2 linked regions of the Diceros bicornis minor genome follow. The protein of the gene in region 2 binds, or shares a complex with, the protein of the main gene of each other region. Links are inferred from orthologs where the notes say so. Each region holds a gene or a part of one and is shown on either strand. Other genes may lie near its edges.

What was found.
Region 1: the proteins of ARPC1B (region 2) and ARPC5L are in contact, whole or in part, in a cryo-EM structure (PDB 6YW6), measured with the Homo sapiens proteins. The link is inferred for Diceros bicornis minor from reciprocal best matches to the Homo sapiens genes ARPC1B and ARPC5L. Residues at the interface, in NP_005711.1 of Homo sapiens: Arg118, Lys138, Arg142, Phe164, Ser201, Gly203, Trp204, His222, Asp223, Ser224, Thr225, Leu240, Ala241, Ser242, Glu243, Thr244, Leu245, Pro246, Phe281; in NP_112240.1 of Homo sapiens: Asn21, Lys22, Arg102, Gly139, Leu140, Gly141, Ile144, Arg145, Thr148, Arg150, Lys151.

Annotation. Positions count from the first base shown.
Region 1 is NC_080767.1:33,364,088-33,371,849, forward strand, and holds the start of ARPC5L (actin-related protein 2/3 complex subunit 5-like protein), read left to right. Parts: upstream 1-4,698; 5' UTR 4,699-4,772; coding exon 4,773-4,927; intron 4,928-7,762. Other genes in the region: RPL35 (large ribosomal subunit protein uL29), read right to left, coding at 211-347, 757-759. UniProt on the Homo sapiens protein: May function as component of the Arp2/3 complex which is involved in regulation of actin polymerization and together with an activating nucleation-promoting factor (NPF) mediates the formation of branched actin networks.
Region 2 is NC_080765.1:7,312,714-7,320,009, reverse strand, and holds the start of ARPC1B (actin-related protein 2/3 complex subunit 1B), read left to right. Parts: upstream 1-4,217; 5' UTR 4,218-4,312; intron 4,313-7,296. UniProt on the Homo sapiens protein: Component of the Arp2/3 complex, a multiprotein complex that mediates actin polymerization upon stimulation by nucleation-promoting factor (NPF).

The DNA.
Region 1 (7,762 bases), on a different chromosome or scaffold from region 2:
AGCGCTGCAGGAGGAGGGAGAGGAGGTCCCGCTGGGCTTCCGAGGGCAGCATTACGCCGGCTCTCCAGGGCCTGACATTCCGGCCCACGGATCCCCTGAACGGCACTTAAACGGACTCCTCCTGAAGCCACCTTGGACAATCCACAAGTGCTCCCGATGCACCCGTGTCCCCCACGTCCAAAGGGCCGTGGGCCGGCCGCGGTCACTTACATCTTGGAGAGCTTGGACGCCGCGCCGCCAGTCACTTTGGCGACGCGCAGCTGCGACAGCTCCACCTTCAGGTCGTCCAGCTGCTTCAGCAGCTCTTCCTTCTTCTTGCCGCGAAGGTCTCGAGCCTTAATCTTGGCCTGCGCGCAGGAAAGGGACCGGGTCAGACACCTCGCGGGCCGCCCTCCGCTGCGCCCGCGTCGTGGCCAGGCCAGCGGGGCGCGCGCCTCGCCCTGGGCCACGAGCGCGCTGGGGGCCCAGCATCCCCGCTAAGCCGTGCCTTGAGTAGGGCCACCGAGGCCCCGGTATCCCCGCTCGCCCAGGCCTACCACGAGGCTGGGCCGCCACCCCATTCCGCAGAGGGGAAGACGGAGGCACCGGGAGCGCGCACCCCTCCTGGCCCAGGCCGGCTGTGGCGGCGCCAGGCCATTCCGCAAAGCGCCCCACAGGCCCGGCCAGCAGATGGGACCCTAGGGCTCACCCCGCGCCCCCGACCCCAGCCCCTGAGCCCGACAGCGCGCGGATGGCGTCCGATTCCCCAGCTCTCACCATGGCTACACAAGCCGCCGCCGCCGCCGCCGCCGCCGCCTGCTCCGAGGGAAAGAGGAAGGGGGCGGGGCCGACCTCCGCAACTACTGCCGGGTGGCGGCGGGCGCAGCCAATGGCGCCGCGGCGGGGGAGCTCCGGCTCCGCCCTTGCCACGCCCCCACCCCCGCCGCCGGCAGCACCGTGGTACCGCCCGTCTGGCCCCGCCGCGAGGATACCGAGCCCGTCCGTAGCGCCCGCCTCTTCCTCCTGCACCTGAGATGACTTAGATCGGCCTCACGCCCTGAGCAGCGCACTTGGGGAAACCGAGCCCCGGGGTGAACGGCAGCTTTCCGGAGATGGCACAGTGAGGACTCGGATTCGTCCATTCAGTCATTTATTCGTTCATCCATTCATTCGTTCATTCCGTAAACCTTTGCAGGTCGCCCAGTCCGTGCTGCTCTGAGCTGGGCGCCGGTGTTCTGGGGAATCAAGGGGATGAAAGTTTTCAAAGATGAATTAACACGGCCCCTGCCTTGGAGCAATTTAAAGTCCGAGGTGGGCGGGGAGGGGCGGGGTCAGACAGCTATAATCCAACTCTTTAAACGTTCTGGTGGAGGCGGCAAGTGGCAGCGAAGGAGCATTCTTGGCCTTTTTTTAGTGAACCCGACCGGGTTTCAAAGTCTTGCTCTGTTGCCGGGTACAACTGAGACTCGGCAAAACCCCTCCTCTCTCGAGTCTCAGTTTTCTCACCTGTGAGATGGGGTATTGATGAGGATTACGGAGATAACATGTAAAACTCTTAGCACAAGACCTGAGGCATAACAATGCTCAAAATATCATCAGTTACAATGTTCCCACTGGAATGAACGCTTGAGTTGTGCCCTGAGAGTTAAAGGCAAATTCATGAAGCAGGGAAGGTGCTCAGGCTTTCTGACTGGGCGGTTTCATTGTTGCCCCAACGGGCAAGCATGAATCCATGCTCTAGTGTCACTCCATTAGCAAAGACATGCCAACACCTTTTAGAGCTCTAGTTAAAGCCAGGTTGTCCCCTTGTTGGTGTCGGGTGTCACCTCCTCCAGGGAGCCTTCTCCCATCCCCAACATATGGGATTCTGTTAATGGACCTTAGTCTTGGACTAAATTGAGAAACGACCTCCCTTTGTGTCCCAAGCTTTCTGTGCAACCCTCTCTTTAGCCCCAAACATACTGAATTAAAATGATGTTTATGTGTCTGTTTCCATAGCCAGCCTAGAAGTTCCCTGGGGGCAGAACTATGGCTGACATCTGATTTGGTTTTTCCTTTTTTTTTTTTTTTTGTGAGGAAGATCAGCCCTGAGCTAACATTCATGCCAATCCTCCCCTTTTTGCTGAGGAAGACTGGCCCTGGGCTAACATCCATGCCCATCTTCCTCCACTTTATATGGGACGGCACCACAGCATGGCCTGACAAGCAGTGCATCAGTGCGCGCCTGGGATCCGAACCCGGGCTGCCAGCAGCAAAGCGCCGGCACCCAACCTCTATGCCACAGGGCCGGCCCTGATTTGGTTTTTCTAGTCTCTAGGCCCAGCACATGGAGGCTTCTTGGATGAATGAATTAATGAGCGTTGCCCCAGACACAGTGAGGCAGGCTTCCAGGAAGTGGAGGGATATGGGAAAGAGAGGGCAGACAGAGGGTATTGACATGGATTATTAGTCTTAAATGGAACTTGAATGGTGCACAGGGACTCTGCTGTCCTATCTTCCAAATGCTTATAATTCTATTAGAGCTAATGATCGTGTAAGTCTTTTCTGAACTTGAAGTCATCTGTGACTCCCGTTTCTCTTACAGGCCACATTCAATCCACCAGCACATTTGGCAGCCTCTACCTTCACAATATACCCGACCTCTTCCCACCACTCTTTGTTGTTTTTTATTGTATTTTATTTTTTGGTGAGGAAGATTGTCTCTGAGCTAACACCTGTGGCAGTCTTCCTCTATTTTTTGTATGTGGGATGGCGCGACAGCATGGCTTCACGAGCACTGTGTAGGTCCACGCCCAGGATTTGAACCCCGGGCTGCCGAAGTGGAGCGTGAAACTTAACCAGTATGCCACTGGGCCGGCCCCTTCCCACCACTCTTATTGGCACCTGCCTGGCCTGAGCTAACAGGCCTGACACCATTGTGTCACCTCTTAAATCACCTATTTTGGCTCTGGTTCGCATACGTGTTCTCAGCACAGCTGCTAGCAGGACCCTTTTCAAACTTAAGTCAGATCATGTCACTGCTCTGCCCATAATTTCCAGGGCTGTCCCATTTGAGTTAAGACCACATCCTTTCCTCAGCCTACCAAGCCCTACAGCATTCCCTCCAGCCCCCACTTCTATCTCAACTCTTCTCTCTCTTCTGCACCAGTAAGGCCTTGCTTTTTCTGGAATACACCAAGCCTGCCCTGCTTCTGGGCCTTTGCTTGGCTCCCTCCTTCACTTCCTTCAGGTCCCTGATCAATGTCACCTCCTCAGGGACACCTCTCTTGACCACTTTAGCTAAGGTACACCCAGGCTCTGCATGGTTTTTTTCCCTCAGCATGCAGTCATCCTTGTCATAGTATAGTTTGGATTTTTAGAATTCTGCCTCTGACTGGAATGGAAGTCCATGGTGATAAGCAGGGACATTATTTCATTCACCAGTTTATTTGGGGGCTATTTCTTTATTTGTAAAATGGGCTTTGCTGGTTTAAAGTTCCTTCTGGCCAGGATGTTCTCGGGATATGAATTTCTGCTGTCTTGTGGCCTGCCTGGGTCACAAAGATTTCTTCCAAGGTATGGAGCTGAAAGACAGGTGGGCCTTGTCTATTTTCAGGACCCCCTGAGACTTTAATTCAGCACCTATTTCCCCCTGTAGGAGTCTGTATCTTTAGCACCCAAGATTAGGTAGCATCATAGTCTGGCAATATTTTTGACCTGTAGACAGTTCAATGAGAAGTATTCGAAGCAATAAGAATGAATCACATTTCATTAACTACCGGCCTTTATTAAAAAGAGTACTATTATATGAAAACAAAGACTCAATTTAGTCGAAGGCTAAGGACCATTAACAGAACCCCTCAAGCAACAGCCCAGGCACCTAATGGTGGCAGTAGAGTCGCCTTTGACTCTGCCCTACCTCCCCCCACCTCCATCTTGCCCCATCTCAGACTCAGGGGATTCGGCTTCCTACCAGGATATGCCTCTCCAGCCTGGCCCGACGTCAGCCCCAAGGACCTCGTCCTTCCTGCCAGGATGGTGGCCAGAGTCATCTCCCTCTTCCCGCCGCCCACCCGCCCGGCCAAGGTGTCTGCTACACGCCGCACCCTCAAGTCCAAATGTCTTCATAGTCTTGTCAGCACCCTGGATACCCTTTAAACGTCTATAAAGTCTCCCAGTCCGTTAACAACAGGGTCTCTGTGTACAAGGCAGAGGCTGCCTCCTCGGAGCTCAGTGTAGTGGCGTTCAAGGCTCCCAAGATCCAGACCAGGCTCCCCCACCCCCGTCACTCCTCGGGGACTAAGAACTACTACTCATCCCTCAGGCCTCAGCTCGAAGGTTTCTTCTCCAAGAAGCCTGCCCGGCACTCGACACGTAGGGCCGGCCGCCTTCTCCTGGGCCCCCGGCCCCTCAGGCTGGGCAGTGAGGCCCCCGGAGTCCGCGGCCGTGCCCGCGCCGGCCCTTCCAGGGGCTCCTTGGACGCAGGAAGGAAACCGAAGAACGAGCGCAGTTACGGCGCCTACGATGCTGGCTGGGGCCCTCTCCTCGGATGGGAAGAGGGGAGTGCAGCAGGCTACTTCTCCAGCCCCTCCAGTCGCTCCGGAGGCGCCCCCACAGGCCCCGCCCCTCCGTCCCACCGGCACTTCCGGTTCCGGCGTGGGCCGGAAGTGGGCGGGCACGGCGGCTGCGCGCGGAGGAGGAGGAGGCGGTGCCGGCGGCCGCTTCCCGCCCCCGAGCCGGAGCCGGTGCTGAGCAGAGCCGAGCCGAGGTCCGGCCCGGAGCGGAGCCGGCTGAGCGGGCGCCGAGCCCCCGCCATGGCCCGGAACACGCTGTCCTCGCGCTTCCGTCGGGTGGACATCGACGAGTTCGACGAGAACAAATTCGTGGACGAGCACGAGGAGGCGGCGGCGGCGGCGGCGGCGGCCGAGCCAGGCCCGGACCCGAGCGAGGTGGACGGGCTCCTGCGGCAATATCCTTCCCCGGCGCGGCGGCCTGGGCTCCCCTGTGGCCCGGCCTTCCCACTTCCCTCCTTCCCGGCTCCGGTCCCGTGGGCCGGCCTCCCCACTCCTCTTACCCCGGCCCGCTCAGCTCGGTCTCCCAGCTCCCTTCCCATCGGGCTCCCCTCTGGCCAGCTCCCCTCAGTCCGGGTGTCCCCTCTTCCCCCTGACCCGGCCTCCCCCTACCTCGTCCCTGGCCCCGGCCCCCAGAGCCTCCCTCAGCAGCGCAGCCCCATGCGGCCCCTAGACCCTGGTGACCGGCCCGCTCGGCGGCCCCGGGAGCGTGCCGGACGGCCTCGGCCCCGCACTCCTCCAGGCCTCTTCTCTGTTCTCTTTCTTGCTTCTTCATCCTCTCAGGCTGTCCCTTCTTTGGGGGCCCCGTCACTCCATCCCTCGCTTGCAGGAAATGGGGGCATTCTCGGGCTTGATCGGCGGGAGGGGCCGAGGTGAGCCACCGCTGAGTAATTGAGCGGCCGGGGCGGCTCCAGGGCAGCCCTCTCGCGCTGGATTGCAGCACCACACGAAGATGGGTGGGTGGATGGGGAAAGGACCCAAGGGGGAGCGCAACCTGCAGCGTTAGTCCAGCCCTGAGGTCTGAGCCTGTGCTCCTCCCACCCCAGAATCAAACTGACCCTCCAGCTTGATGCCACTCTTTGTCGCCCATTCTTGGGCTTTGGACCTTCATGGTCTCATCCACGTTCAACAAGTGAGTTTTGGCTCCCTTCCCCCTGCTACCTTTCTTGTGCAGGAAGCAGTGGAAAAAACTAGTAGTTTAGAGCTAAGAAAAACCAGAGTCAAGTAAAATGTAAAAGTAGAGCCCCACGCCTGCAAATGACCTTTCTTGTGGCCACAGAAAACAGCGTTTAGAAAACAAGATTAAAAATAGAGGTGGTTGTCACAGCCTGCTTGGTCCCTTAGCAGTTTGAGCACAGGAAACTGACTTATTCTCACAGGAAGGATTTTTCTTGATTCAAATGGTGTTACAGGAAGCGCCCACCCCTCCCCCGCGCTCACCAGGGCAGGGTTGGAGGCTCCTGCTGTATATAAAGCAGGTTCTGGGTGTTTAATCAGTTGACTCAGCTTGGGAAGGCAGGCCCAGAGACTGGCTTTGGGAGGAGTCCTGCAGTGTTCTTCCAATTTACCTTTAAAACAAAAACCTTCTGACTTTCTTTCTTTGAACAGGAATGTGTTGTCAAAGGTGGGGATTCAAACTTGTATTTCCTACCCCATCAGGATCACCTTGCTTACCCCACTGGCGAAATGGGGTCATGAGAAGGGCCCCCACGAGAGAAGGTTGGTTTTGCAGTCTGGTGCAGGACCTGGCTCGTGGGCAGGCAGTGCCAAATGGGCTCCAAGTTCAGGCCTGTGGCCCAGAACCATCCGCAGATGGGGAGAACAAGGTCTGGTTACCTGCTGGCTTGGTCCTGGTGCTGTAGGGACTTGAAGGTCATCTCTTGGTACGCCCCTGACTAGTGATAGTCAGGTTCCTTGAGGCTGCTTAGCACATCCAGTAGATGGTAGTTTCTCCACTAATGGCAGTGTCAGAAACCTTGTTACCATGGAGAGTGTACCTCCTGGGATTGGGGAAAGGGAGGTTAGCACGTGAGAACTGAAATTCTGGCAAATGTGGGGCCTGGGGAGGAAGAACTAATACTTACTGAGTCCCTACCACGTGGTATTGGACTCACATTAGATCGTTGAATTTAAACTATGGAACAGACTTCTAGGAGTCTCAGGACAGAGGCAAGGGAAGTAGGGATAGGGGGTGGTTGATTGGAGTAGGGGAAGGTAGGGAGGAGGTCTGTCCTAGTGCTGTATAGGGAAGCAAGTCCTGGTGGGAGATCACACAGAAGCAATAGAAAGAACATGGGCCATGCATCCACACAGACCCAACTCTATCAGGCTCTAGCTGTGTGACCTTGAGTAGGTCACATACCCTCTCTGAACCTTAGCATCCTCCTCTGTTAAAAGGAGGAGAACCATGCTGGACTTCGAGGTTCCATGGGAGCATCGCTGGGCAAAATCCCAGAAGGCTTCTGCACAGTGCTGGGCACACAGCAAGTGCCTGGACGTGCAGCTTGCGTCTGTGGGTGGAGCGGCAGCAGGGCTTGTAGGAGGAGCTTGGTTTTTGGAGTCAGGCATATTTGGGTTGAAGGCCAGCTGGACAGCTTAGCTTTGTGACCTTGGGCAGGTCATTTCCCTTCTCTGGGCCTCAAATTCATTGCCTTTAAAATGAGAATAATGATTCTTGTCGCAGAGTTGTTAGCAGTAATGAAGTAACACATCAGAGCACCTGGCACAGGATCTGAGATCTGGTAGGGATTTTAAAGTATTAGTTCCTTTTCTTTGCTGAAGCACCTTCTGGTGCTCTGGAGCAGCGATCTGTCCAGAGCAGTGGTTTGAGTGATCTTGCGGAACTTGGTGCTACTGGGATCTAATGGGTAGAGGCCAGGGATGCTGCTAAATATTGTATGTTGCACAGGACAGACCCCACATCATTCATCTGGTCTGAAATGTCACTAGTGCCGTGGTTGAGAACCCCTGATTTGGAGGAGACTAGGGGCTGGGCAGGGTTCCCCAGCCTCCACAGCCTGTTCTCTGGAAGGGCCTAAAGCCAGCTGAGTACAGAGGCCAGCTTGATAAATGGTGTGCCCTCCTGCTCCCCAGCTCTCCTGGGCTGCTGAACGCCCTTCCCCATCTGCACCTGCAGTGAATGCTGGGTACCTGGTGCCAGAGAGAGGTCACTAAAGCAGTGACTCCTTTTGCCTCCTGGACCAGTCGTTCTCCCCTTCCCCATCCATCTTCAG
Region 2 (7,296 bases):
TTTCTTTTTAGTTTCAATAAATCACATGGTTTGGCCAGCAAGCCCAGAGGTTTTTAGAGAAACAATGTATTCCATGAAAGAAACAACAGCAACAAAAAACAAAATTTACTAACTTTCCCTCCAAGGACTTAATAGTCACAGTTGTCTTTTTTCTTGTTTTAACTTGGGCCATTTCTCACTCATGGAAGAGTGCCCATCCCGGTCATGGCACCCAGGAACCCTCAGTGCTGTGCTGCAGTGCTGGGGCCTGTGAGATTGCCGAAGCTCCCTCCTCCTCTCGCCCTACCTTTGAGACTCAGGTAAGGCCTGGGTGCACAGTGACTGCCAATTTGGAGGGGTTCTCAGTGACCCTGACTATGCCACGACACACTGGTCAAAGCCCTTTGATTCGATGCTTTGGTGTCAGATTATAGTTCTGCCAAGTTGTGTGACCTTGAGTGATATAGTTAACATCTCTGTGCCTCAGTCTCCTCACCTGTAAAATGGGCATGATACAGGATTAGTAATTCCTCTTAGATACTCATGAAAGCCGAGGTTTGCTTTCAGGCTTGACACTGGCCGTATAGTAGTCCCCGGAGACCCTTAATAACAGTGGGCTCAGGTGGGAAGAAGTGTATGAAGTATGTTGGTAACCAAAAAAACTTCAGTAGTTCTTTCCAGAATATTATGCTAGAAAACGGGTCAGCCTCAGAACCCAGATTAATTGCTTAGGCAGGACTTTTCAGTTTGGCCCAACAATCACCACACAAGTGGTCTAGTTCCCATGTGTGCCCAACCCTGGAGGTGGTGATGTGAAGGCCCAGGGTGGCCCAGGTAGTCCCCATGTGGACTGGTCAGTACAGATCAGTACGGACATTATAAGGTTATGTTATTTAAGTTATGTGTGTGTGTATAATTCAAATACTAGATGTGGTAGATAGAGTAATGCCCCCCAAAGATGTCCATGTCGTAATCCCCAGAACCTGTGAACTTTGCAGATGTGATTAAGTCAAAGATCTTGAGATGGGGAGTACTCTAGGTTGTCCAGGTGAGCCCAGTATTGTCACAAGGATCCTTGTAAGAGGGAGGTAGGAGAGTGAGGGATGTGACATAACAGGTTGGAGTGTCACAAGGCCCCGGAGCCAAGGAATGCAGGTGTGCTAAAAGCTGGAAAAGGCAAGCAAACAAGTTTCCCCGGAGCTTCCAGAAGGAACACCACCCTGCCCGCTGAGACTGACTGTGGGCTTCTGACCTCCAGAACCGTAAGAGAATAAGCCACCCTGTTTGTAGTAAGTTGCTACCGCAGTGATAGGAAACTAACACACTAGGTCAGTTCAGAAAGGAGGGGAAGTATAGTCTAGAGCAGAGTTTTTCAAATTGAGGGTCAGACCCCGTTAATGGTTGTAAAAGTCAATTTGAAAATGACACAGAAGAGAAAAGAACAGATTTTGCATTGCCTGTAGTAAGTGTTGTTTCAAGATGCTTATGTTTCAGATATATGTGGGGATGTGTACTAGGTCGCAGTAGACATATCACTGTGAGTTGTGATCAAAAGTTTGAAAGCCACTAACGTAAAGTCAGTCACCTGAGGGGGCTCATGAGGAGGGGTGCTTTAGCCCTGCCTTGGATACGTTACCGTGAGAACAGCTAACCGCCAGGCACCCTGGTGAGCAATTGATAGGCCTCAGCTACTCACAACAACTCTATAGTGTTGGAACTTTGCCACATTTTAAAGATGACAAAACTCAAGTCCAGAGAGGGAAGTGACAGCCTCCGTTGGAACCGTGGCAGTCTCTCCAGAGCCCCAGCGCTAACCGCTAAGTCTCCTCCCTACTGGGGGAGGGCAGGGAGTGGAGGTGCGTAGTGACCAAGCCCAGTTCAGTTTGCCCAAGCTTGGGAGCAGAGAGATGTCATTGGAACTGATGGGAGGGGACCCCTCTGACAGTACCCTATGGGGTTTCGTTGTAGACCTGAATTTCTCAGTGAACTGACACATAAAGCCATGTGGCTTGGAACGGGGTGTGCCTCAGAACACTGCCCCCATCAGAAGACTGCCTCCTGGAGCAGGACACAAGTTCCTGGCCTCAGCTATGGTGGACCCCTTCCCGGGCTTTGGCCACCTTACAAATATGTGTGGCCCAGGGAAGGAGGCCCAAGGGTTTCCCCTCTTCCCTCCTGCTCACAGGGATCAGGTGGCAATCCCTTGATCCCAGGGAGAGAGACCCATGGTCCCCGTTCTTGGTGGGAACATGCTGAGACAGAAGAAGATGAAGCTTTCCTCCCTGGTCTCCTGCTGCCTTGGCCAGTGCACCACTTCCTAGGCCAGATGCCTGGAGTTTGGCTGCCATCTTGTGACCAGGAGGCAGTAAGGCAGTGCAGTGAGGAGGAAGGAGCAGAAAGCTGGAAAGAACCTCGTGACCTGGAGACGCGACCAGCCCCCTGACTACTACTGACTGCCCTCCTCCAGGTCAGCCAGCCCTGCAGAGTCTGCCTGGGTGTGTGGCTGCATTTCTTGGAAACCTGAGAAGGCGGAAAGAAGGGGGAGTGTAGCATCTTCATCCCAGGGCACCAGGGGAGGCAGATTCCAGGAAGCAACAAAGCTCTCCAAGTTGTTCTCAGCACTCCAAAAGAAATTCTTCCACCCCCAAGCTCCCCTCACCCAAGGAGTTGTTTCACTTAAGGTTTAAAAACTTTGTCCCCCAAGGGAGCCATTTCAAAGAACATCCCCCATGGCTTCCCGGTCTAAGGTGTGCTTTCCATCCATTGGGTCTTCCCATAATGACCGCAGGCCTGTGAGGGGGGGCGGGCAGCGCTTGTTATGAGTCAGCCTCGCTTTACAGCTGCGGAAACTGAGGCACGCAGGACGAAGGACTTGCCTGAAGTTATACTGCGGGGTTAAGTGGCAGAGCCAGGGTTGGGTACATGTTCTACCACCACCATTCATTCATTCACTCACTCATTCATTCAACAGATGCACACTGAGGGCTTGCTATATGCCACACGCGCTGCTCTAGGCTCAGGGGAAAGCAGAGCAAACAGTAAAAGAGTTTGCTCGCCCTAAGCTTCTGCATCGTCTTTTCATCAATCAACTTGCTTCACTTCAGTTTTCACCGAGAAAAGCGAGTCCCCAGGTGAGCACATTGGTCAGGATGCTTTACTGAGACTAACAGAAAAACTCAACTCGAACCAGCTTCAAAAGTAAAGTAGGTTCCTTAGCACACGTATCCGAAACCTCTGGAGGCAGATTGTGCTCAGGCTGACTGGTCAGAGGTTGACCTGGGCTCTGGTCATTTCTCTGGGATTCTCTCCATCTGCGCTCTAACCTTGTCGTCTGGCTTCCTTTGTGGCTGTTACACTTCCCTGTTCAGATTCACGCACCTCACCCAGAGGGGCTTCTTTCCCCTCCATCATCATCAGAAGTCCTGGCCTCCTAGGGAGAGGGGCCTGATGAATTGAGAGGGTGCAGGGTTTTCACCAGGGTCTCCTCCATCTGCCAGGCCACTTGGCCACATCTCCATTGATGAGGCAGAGGGTAGGGATGGAAAGACACCCGCGGCCACCTGGCCCAAGACCCAAATTCAAGTGGCTGCAAGCAGCCAGGTAACTTAAAGGAGTGAAGGTGACCGCGGTGGAGTAGAGGGCCGAGAAGGCAGCACTGAGAGAACGTGCTGGGCCAGCCAGAATCAGCGGGGCGGCCAGCGTGCATGCCTGGCCGGGCCAGCATCCTGGTTTTGTAGTGAGGATCCAGGGCGGGGCGGGCGGGGCGGGCTGCCTTGGCCACGCCTTACTGCCTGCACCGGGTTTGCACTTTTAGCGCCTGGCGGGTATCAGTTTGCGAACGAAGAGATGGTTCCCGCGCGGCCGGGGTCCGAGGCCTGCAGAGGTTCGCTAAGTTGCTCAGTCGCCAGCGTATGAGCGCAGAGTCCGCCGTCCCCGCGGTCCGGCTCAGACGACACCGCCCTCCCGTCCGGCGCTGTCCACTCTCGGTGGGGGGTGGGGGGTGGACACGCGCCCTGCCAGGCTCCCGGTCCCCGCCCAGCTGCTGCTCAGGCTGTGCACCCCTCTCTGAGCCTCAGTTTCCCCGTCCATAAAGTAGTGCGGAGTGGTCGTGGACGATTTCTGCGCGCCTTGGGTCTGTGCAGCCCGCAAACCCGGAGGGGTGGGCGGGGCCTTGGGTCTCCCGACCGCTGCCCCTGGTCCCCGCCCCGGTCCCCGGGGGCCTGGCTGGGAGGCCCCGCCCCCCGCCCACGAGGAAGTGGCTGCGGCGCCGCGCGGGGCCCAGAGCCGGTTCGGCGCGTCGACTGCCCAGAGTCCGCGGCCGGGGCGCCCCGAGGTGAGGGGGCGCGGGGGGATGCGGGGATGTGAAGGGGCGCGGGAGGGGGCGCCTGGAGCTGGGGGGACGGAGGGGGAGGCGGGGGTGAGGGGGTGCCTGGCGGTGAGAGGGTCGCATGCAGGTGGCGAGTGCGCGGGGGCTGCCAGGAGATATGGGGGTGGGGGCACGGGGCGTCGCCTGGAGGTGCGGGGACCAGTGGGCGCAGGTGGCGGCCGCGCCGAGGGTGGGCGGTGGCCTCCGGGCGAGGGACGCGCAGGGGTCCCGGCGCCCTCGAGGCGGCCCCCACCCCCGGCCCCTCTCCCTGTCCCCTCTCCGGCCCTCACATCCCGACTCTGCCCCGCGGCCGGTGTCCCCCGTTATTTCGGGCCGCGAAAGCCCCACACCCAGTCACTTCCCCACCCTCCAGCCTTCCGGGTTCTCCAGCCGGGAAATGAGCTGGCGCCCCCGCCCTCCCTCCGCGGCCACCGCCTCCCCCCTCCCCTCCCCCCGCCCGCCTCCCGCCCCGGGCCGGGTCCGAGGGGTCCGTGCAGGGAGGGGGCGGCCGGGGGCCCCGGGACGGGCGCTTCTGAGCTCCCGGGCGCTGGCCCCGAGCGGCCCCTCCCTCGCCTGCGGCGCAGGAGAGCAGCCGGCCTGTCCAGGGCTGGGGCGGGGACAGTCGTACACCCACCACCGGCGGGAGCCCCGGGAGCGAGCCTGGTGCGGTGCGGGACGCCGGGCTGGAGGCTGTCCCCGGGCTCCTCCCGCCTGGCGGGCGGTGCTCCCTCGTGGTTAAGAACACCCATCGCCCTTCAGGTCTCAGGGCCCTAGGTAAGAGCGCCAGCTTCTTCCTCCACCAGCTGATGACCTTAGCAAGCCACCTAACCTCTCTGGGCCTCAACTTTCCTTATCTGGAAAATGGGGACCTTTCAAGTTGTGAGGCTTAAATGTGGTAATGTAAGACACTTGGCAGTGTGCCAGGCACACACTGTGAGTGTGTGCTATTAGTGTTGTCGCTGTCATTGTAAGGCCTGCCCTCATTTAACAAAGTGCCCAGGTGAACCTAAACTCCCGTATTTCGGGTCAGAATCCAAGCTGTGCCATTTAGGAGCTGTGTGACTTTGAGCAAATCTTGGCTTTTGTCTGAGTCTCACTTTCCGTCTGTACAAATGAAGGTTGAAAAAAACACAAAGCAAAAAACTTCCTAGGTTTGCTTTAGCAGGGAAAAGAGAGAATGTCCAAGTCCTGGGTAAATCCTAGGCATTTAAAATGCCAGTAGGGTTAGTTCATTACATATGGATTTGTATATAATCCACATAGGTCTTTTCTAATAGTTAAATAGTATCCCAGCATGTTAATGTCACTAGTTACTTTTTCCATATTTGTTGTCATCTGGATTTTTCCACCCTGTCACCACTATAAACAGTTATTATGAACATGTTTGTTTTTTAAAAAAAAAAAAGTGGCTCTTAGCACCGAAATGAATTTATGCAACCAAAGAGTGTTAACAGTTTTTAAGTTCCTGTTCGTGTTATTCTGTTCTGCTTGTTCCTACCCAGTTGTTGAATTGAGAGTTATCACATTGCTCTTCAGAAAGGCTGCACAAATTAGCAACAAATGAGAATTTCTCCACAGCCCTGCCAGCATTGAGTTTTATGTTTTTGGGTGTTGTTTTGTTTGGATTACTTTCACTGGTGCTTTATGGTGCCTTGGGATTGTTTTCATTTATGTCTCTTGACTTGACTTTGCCTGTTTTGTAAGCCTTTAAGAGCAGAGTTGGGGAGGAGGATTGGCTGGTCTGTTTGGGGTGGCAAGGGCTGCTCTGCACACAACAGGAAGTTGAGTAACTGCTTAGCACGCGTGCAGACTGGCTTGCTGGCTCAGCCTCTGAGCTGGGTGGGGACTTCCCTGAGTGTCTGTAGAGCCAGAGATCCTTGCTCCAGGCTGCTCCTGCCTGGTTTAGCCTCAAATTCAGCCAAGCCTCTGCGTTCAGAGAACACTGGCAGAGCTTCTTTCAAAGCAAGAACAAACCTACAGCCAGTGCCCTGTCCAACTCCAGCCTTTTCTGGATGGAGATGTGAGGGAAGTGGTGGCCAAGGGCGCCCGGCCAGTATGGAGAGAGCCAGAACTTGAACCCGGCACTGTAAGAAGGAGCACTGAGGTCTGAGGCCCTTGGCGGGGCAGCCCAAGGCCTCGCCTGGCTTGCTTTGCTGAGGAGGGGAGCTGTATTCTCCTCGAATCCTCAGAGAGGACCCTCTAGATTGCAGGTTTTCTAATCATTGACCCTATCAGGGAAAAAAATTGGTGCACATACTCCCCGGGAGATATTTACAAATTGCATACATGCGTCACTGAAGCAATCCTGCGTATTCCTAAGACAGACCCAGCAAAAAGGATGTGATTCATTCGTTCAGCATCATTCCAGAACTATTACTTGATTGCCTACTGTGTGCCAGGCCCTCTGATTGGTGCTGGGGATGCTTCAGTGAACAAAACAAACACCCTTGCCCCCATGGAGCTGACATCCACATCCCAGTGCATGGTCTATGGCACTCCCAGATGGAAACCCAAACCCCCTCCCAGCCATCATGCTGCCCTTCTCTGTCCCCTTGCACCCCAGCCCCAAGCGGTCCTGGTCCATTCATTCCAAGCACCCACTGTGTGCCTGACGCCAGGGAAGTGCTCCTGGGAGCACAGAGAGATCCTGGCTCCAGGCTGGTGGGGGGTGGCTTGGAGCCAGCAGGGGAGTCTGTCGGGATTTGGCCCCTCCCCTCCCCCAGTCTCACTCTGTTTCCGGGTTATGGGGGCACAGAGCATGATCCTAACATGATCCCCAGGGCCCCCTCCTCTCTGTCCTCAGCAGTCAAATGGGCCCATGGTGCTGGCTCACAGGACCGTGGTGACAAGTGGGTGGGTGTCCCGGAGGCCTTGTCCTGCCCCTCTCTCCACCCAGAGCCAGGGCTGAGGCATTGTGTTGTCAACACACTGGGGCAGAGCAGCCCTAGTTG